Linked DNA regions of Canis lupus familiaris. The protein of the gene in region 1 binds, or shares a complex with, the protein of each later gene. Links are inferred from orthologs where the notes say so. Each region holds a gene or a part of one and is shown on either strand. Other genes may lie near its edges.

Region 1 (2,624 bases):
ACTAAAATGTTAAATCATGTCTTAAACATCTGTGAAAAAGATGGCACTTTTGACAACATCTATCTGTAAGTAAAATAATATTTAATGTCCTTAAAGATTTTAATAGATTGGCAATAAAAATCTTTACTAGAAACTTTAAAATCTGGTTAGTTATTTCATTGTCTTTTGGAAAAACCATGGAAGTTTAATGGTTATGTTTTGTTTTGTTTCAATAATAGATATGGAATCTGACTTAAAACATTCTCATTTTGCTTTATTATGTTGGAATGGGAGCTCCAAAATCACAGAGATGAAACCAAGATTAAAACTCAAGTGTTCAGAATTGGCGAATTAGTATCATTAATACTACTTTTCTCATGCTGTTTGCTCTCTGGGTTTTGTTTAAGGTTCTTAGTGCTATGTTCATTAGTAGTAGAATTCAGTAGTTAAAATCAGAGAGTACCTAGCTGATATTTCTATCTTAAGAGAACTCAAATTAAGAACCAAGGCTATATCACAAGGGTATTAAGATTGTTCTCATTTTAACTTTGTCGGTGGGAGAGATTATATAATGCTGTTTTAAGGAGCAATTGAGAAAGCTCAAATTATTTATTATCAAAATCTGGCATTTTTTAAAATAAATCCGTGAGGATATATTCAGGCATTTGAAACTCTAGTTATATTATTTTTCTGTATTTTTTCCTACATGTGTAAATATGGCTTTTGAATTATCCCTATGGTTATTTACCCATTTTTAATTACAGGAATCTTTTTTTCCCCTTGAAATGAAAAATATTATGCTAGCCTAAGGTACTTTGTCCTTTGCTGATTGTAAAAGTAAACACTATTTCTGAGTCTCCTAACCTCAACCAGCTGTCATGCAAATGTAGCAGGTTAATAGTATACATTTGTCATCAAAGGTTTTTCTGAGATGAATACTGACCTTTGTTGATTACCAGTAATTATGAGAAGAATCTAACAAATGTGTGCAGTATTCCAGCTCTAACCAATTGGAAGCTATTTGTGGAGAATACACAAAAGCTGACAAAATCTTATTTATTTTTTTTCTGATACCCTTCTATATCTCAGGCATGTCCAGATCAGCAATGAGTCGGCAATTGACTTCTACAGGAAGTTTGGCTTTGAGATTATTGAGACAAAGAAGAACTACTATAAGAGGATAGAGCCCGCAGATGCTCATGTGTTGCAGAAAAACCTCAAAGTCCCTTCTGGCCAGAATGCAGATGTGCAAAAGACAGACAACTGAACAAATTAGAAATGAACTTTCTTGCACTTGCTTGTCGCCAAATAAAAGAGAGGCCCATTGATTTTTTTTCCCCCCTCTTTCTTTTCCCCCTCCTTCCTTATTCTTGTTTGTCCTCCCTTCTTTCTTTTTCTTTCCTCTGAAAAAGGTTTAATACTTCCAAGGACTTTCAAAATTAATCATGTTTGGATTGTTTTTAGTTTTCTTATTTTTGTGAGGTGGTTTGATTGTAGAAAAGAGGAGGTATAGATATGTTTGGTTTCACAGTTAAGATATATATGGTCCCAAAAAATTGGGTGTCAGTGTCAATTTTTTTTTTATGTCCTGCTTTCACATTGAAGGGCAGAGTCTACAAAAATGTTGTATATATCAAAAGACAAAAAGAAATAGCAGCAATATCTTGTTCTCTAATTCAAAGACAAGTTTAGTGTGTTTGTGGTACTTTGGGTTTTTCAAGACTGTGGGATACTAATCCCTAGACATTGCCTTCACTCCACCTTTTGTCCTTCTGAGTGTTATCTCAGGAGTTGGACCATTGTTATCCTTGTAAGAAATACTAAGCTTATCTTGTTTTTTTTTAAGCAATTATTTCTTTATTCCTTGCTGAGGGTGGGTGGGACAGTTTGGGTAGATAGTGTTTTACTTTGGTCTCAGTATTTGAGTTAAACTGCTTTTTGCTAATGAATGGGCTGGTTGGTAGCAGGTTTATTTTTCCTGCTGTTGATTGTTCTTAGTGGCATTAACTTTTAGAGTGTGGCTGGTGAGATTAATTTTTTTTAATATCCCAGCTAGAGATATGGCCTTTAACTGACCTAAAGAGGTTTGTTGTGATTTACTTTTTCCCCCCTGTCCTTTTTCATCAGTAAACTCACAATAGTTAGTCTAACCTTAAAAATGGGAGTTGATGTCCTTATAGGTCAGTACCCCTAAATAAACCTGAAGCAGGTATTGTCTCTTGGACATACTAGAAAACACCTAAAAGGAAGCTTAGAAGAACTCGTGGCACAATAAATGCATTTAATGTCAGCTAATGCAGACTGTTAAAAGTGTGGCCACTGAGCATTTGATTATATAGGAAAATATATCTAGACAGTATTTTTGAGAATAACATAGCTGTGCTATTGCTTATCTGTTGGAGAACATCCCAGATTTGCTTATTTTCTGTGCCTATGATACTGAGTTTAAGGATTTGGGGGAGGGGAAATTGTTCAACATTTTGCTTCTATTGTTGGAAAAGTAGAAGTTCAGAAGTGTTAATAATGTAAATGTCACTGTGACCTCCTCTACTGACAGGACTGGTTTATGCCAGATCATTTTCTGGCACATAGGGAGTGGCTTGGACGGGTTGGTAACTTTTTGTAAGATAGGAGACATCTGAAAT
Region 2 (3,832 bases), on another chromosome or scaffold:
CATAACCATAATATCATCACCACACTTGAACATTAATGCTTTCTTATTGTCAAAGAAAAATCCATGCTTACTTACATTTCTAGTTATCTTAGAAATGTCATTTTTTCCCCCTCTTTGGTTTTCAAGTTTGTTTGAGTGAGGACCCATATGAAATCTATACTCTTGAGTTTGATATATCTCAACTCTCTTATAAAAAATCTATAGGTGTTCTATTTGCTCTATTTCCTGCAATTTATTTGCTTAAAATTTTGAATTTTTTTTTCTTAAGTTTTCTACAGTCTAGATTTTGCTGAATGGACTTGCATGGTGTTGCTTAACATGTTCTTCTATTCTCTGAGTTGTTACAAATTGGTAGTTGGCTGTAGAGCTGTGCTGTCTAGTATAATAACTGTTAGCCAAATGTGATTATTAAAATTTTTAAATTAAGTAAAATTAATAATTCAGTTCTTCAGTTGCAGTAGCCACATTTCAGGTGCTGCTCAATAGCTGTGTAAAGCCAGTGCCTACTACCATAATGGCCAGGGCAAATACAGAATGCTTCCATCCTTGTAGAAGCTTCTAATGGACAGGTCTAGGTAGAGGCTTAATGAGATTCACTTTTTTTTTTGTTTGTTTCTTTTTAAATACAGAGGGTGAAAAAGGTTTATTTCATGGGTGTGATGTAGTATGTTCTTACACCAGGAGGCACTTAGTGTTTGTATGTTAGCAACTGTCAGGAATTATAAGCTAGTGATAATCTGTCATTCATCTTTATTATCTTGAGAAATTTCCCTTCATCTGTTACCTGTTTATCCAGTATTTTGGTTTATATAGGAAAAGCAAGATAAATGCTGCTGCTTTCCCCTGTATCTCATACTTTTTGTTGTTGTTCTTTATCAGTTTTCAAAATAATGAATTCATTTAGTAGCATCCTTCAAAGATGCCAGAGCACATTTTAAAGGTATTATAAATTCATGGGTTTAAACATACTTGATGTTTTAAATCATTGCAGTTTCAAATGGTTCCAGCCTTCACGTAGCTTTTTTGCAGTTTGGTATGACCAGATATTCCAGTTCATCTGGTACACTGCCCATAGCAGACCTGGAATCACTTGTTTTTCCAAAGGAGCCCTGGTTCTTAGTGGGAAAGCCCAGTATGGGACCTGGGATGCTCATTGCTATTGGGTTGATCATTGTTTCTAGGTCTCAGATTAATTTTAATAATACTTTTTAGAAGGCGTTACCATGGTTTCATTGGTTAATCATCATGATGTTCCTTTGATTATCAGCATTTTCCTACATATTTTACAAATGTGGAAGAGGTTCAATGACATGCCCAAGAATATGCAGCACTTTAGTTGCAGATCTATCAGATCGGGAGTTGGTGAGTTCCACTCCTATTGTTTGTCCACTGAGCCATCCTACTTTTACTAGGATAAAAATAAGCAATCCATTGCTTTCTTTGAAAGCAAATGACAGTTCTTAGATTTTAGATATTGGTATTAAAAACTATTTTATAATGTGTGGGTTGTATATTTAACTTACACATTTTCTTGTGAGTGTATAAAAAATTAACTAAAATGTAGAGTAAGCATTTTTACTTCTGTCATTTTTGGGGTATAGTTTTTATTTGACCTAAATTATGCATCGTTGCACATCAGCATAATATTAAAATATATTAATATTATAATCACCCCAAACTCAACCACATTACAAGTATATTTATGTATAGTTTAGTACATTAGCTAGAAACCCAATTAAGCAGTCAGGCCATTTTTTTTTTTTTAATTTCACATTAATGGAAAATCAATATTTTTGATACCTTTTTCGCCCCTCATAAATAACATCCTGATCATTACACTTTCATAGTACTAGCACAACTTGTCTACCCCCACTCCTTTCAGTTTCTTTTTTTAGGTAATTTTTAATATCTTTGATCTCATTTATCTGCCATATTTATTATATATATAAAGTTCTTACTAAATTCAAGGCATTGTGTTAGAGGTTGTAATGATACAGAACAGACAGCATGATCCCTTCCAAAGATCTTATAAATTTAAGGATGGTTTTATAACTAGATACATAAATAAATAGTTCAAACTGCTTTTCCTTATTAATAAAGATAAAGCCATTTGGAGGTGGGTACTCTCATCATATATGTAATGACTAATCTTGGCTTATTTCCTCTCCCACCCACCTCTCCCACTTTTTAAAGATGATGGAAAAGAGGAACCACCAACCACATTACTTTGGGTCCAATACTACTTGGCACAGCATTATGACAAAATTGGTCAGCCATCCATCGCTCTGGAATACATAAATACCGCTATTGAAAGTACACCTACATTGATAGAACTCTTTCTTGTGAAAGCTAAAATCTATAAGGTAAAATATTCCCCCCCTTTTTAATAAGGTAATGAGTCTTTTAAAAACTGTTTTCTATAATTTTGTAACAAAAATGATATATTTGATGGCTCGGAAAACTTGGAATAAGTGTAGAACATTTCTCAGTCTGTTTATTTTTAGATTTGTCATGGTCATGATAATTTACTCATATCTCTACATACACATACAGATATACATGCATATGATTATTCAGATATTTTGTTGTTCATATTATATATTCTTTTAAAAGAAAGATATATTAATTAATTAATTTGACTGAGAACACGCATGCACAAGCGGGGTGGGCAGGAGAGGGAGAAGCAGGCTCTCTGCTGAGCAGGGAGGCCGATGTGGGGCTCAATCCCAGGACACTGGGATCGTGACCTGACTCAAAGGCAGACACTTAACCAACTGAGCCACCCAGGCGCCCACATTCACACATACACACGTCTGGTTATTTTCTTGGTTTTAAGTAGTAAGAGTATAGATACTCAGAAGTATTTAATTTACTGTGACAGGTTTGTTTCTCTTAGCATTTGAGTATGATCATGATCAGTATCTGGTAATTTTAATGAAATGAAACTGAAGATTATATTATTGTTCTTGTCTTCTTAACTTTTTAAAAGATTTTATTTATTCATGAAAGAGAGGGAGAGGGAGAGAGCGAGAGAGGCAGAGGCATGGGCAGAGGGAGAAGCAGGCTCCATGCAGGGAGCCTGACGTGGGACTTGATCCTGGGTTTCCAGGATCACGCCCTAGGCTGAAGGCGGCGCTAAACCGCTGAGCCACCCAGGCTGCCGTCTTCTTAACTTGTTGCTGTTACTTGAGAATCTTCAATTATATGTTTTAGCATGATCTTAAAGTTGGCTCTTCTCTTTCTTAATACAAATAAAAGTTAGTAATAAAAGCTCCTTTTTAAAAAATTTTATTATTTATTTATGATAGTCACAGAGAGAGAGCGAGAGAGAGAGAGAGAGAGAGAGAGAGACACGGGCAGAGGGAGAAGCAGGCTCCATGCACCGGGAGCCCGACGTGGGATTCAATCCCGGGTCTCCAGGATCGCGCCCTGGGCCAAAGGCAGGCGCTAAACTGCTGCGCCACCCAGGGATCCCAGTAATAAAAGCTCTTAGGGAAGAGATTGTGAACTTAAAATTTATTTACCAAAAAAGGGATGCCTGGGTGGCTCAGCGGTTGAGCATCTGCCTTCAGCTCAGGGGTTGATTCTGCGGTCCCAGGATCGAGTCCCACATCGGGCTCCCTGCATGGAGCCTGCTTCTCCCTCTGCCTGTGTCTCTGTGTCTCTCATGAATAAATAAATAAGATCTTTAAAAAAAATTTATTTACCAAAAAATAATGAAATTAAGTGTTGTTTTAAAAGCACTTTAAAAAGCCAGGTTGTGCTCATAGTTTTGTGGCTTTGACAAAATGGACCAATAATGTAAATTAGAATATTTACATTATTAGAGCCT

What was found.
Region 2: the proteins of NAA50 (region 1) and NAA15 are in contact, whole or in part, in a cryo-EM structure (PDB 6PPL), measured with the Homo sapiens proteins. The link is inferred for Canis lupus familiaris from reciprocal best matches to the Homo sapiens genes NAA50 and NAA15. Residues at the interface, in NP_079422.1 of Homo sapiens: Arg5, His14, Asn15, Lys17, Gln18, Arg21, Leu22, Val25, Phe51, Asn52, Ile54, Ala55, Leu80, Pro82, Tyr83, Leu86; in NP_476516.1 of Homo sapiens: Pro369, Pro370, Thr371, Leu374, Ser403, Thr404, Pro405, Thr406, Leu407, Ile408, Phe411, Glu433, Ala436, Leu437, Asp438, Thr439, Ala440.

The regions. Positions count from the first base shown.
Region 1 is NC_049254.1:18,657,330-18,659,953, reverse strand, and holds part of NAA50 (N-alpha-acetyltransferase 50), read left to right. Parts: coding exon 1-65; intron 66-1,068; coding exon 1,069-1,246; 3' UTR 1,247-2,624. UniProt on the Homo sapiens protein: N-alpha-acetyltransferase that acetylates the N-terminus of proteins that retain their initiating methionine. Has a broad substrate specificity: able to acetylate the initiator methionine of most peptides, except for those with a proline in second position.
Region 2 is NC_049240.1:4,068,098-4,071,929, reverse strand, and holds part of NAA15 (N-alpha-acetyltransferase 15, NatA auxiliary subunit), read left to right. Parts: intron 1-1,267; exon of another isoform or gene 1,268-1,362; intron 1,363-2,193; coding exon 2,194-2,363; intron 2,364-3,832. UniProt on the Homo sapiens protein: Auxillary subunit of N-terminal acetyltransferase complexes which display alpha (N-terminal) acetyltransferase (NAT) activity. The NAT activity may be important for vascular, hematopoietic and neuronal growth and development.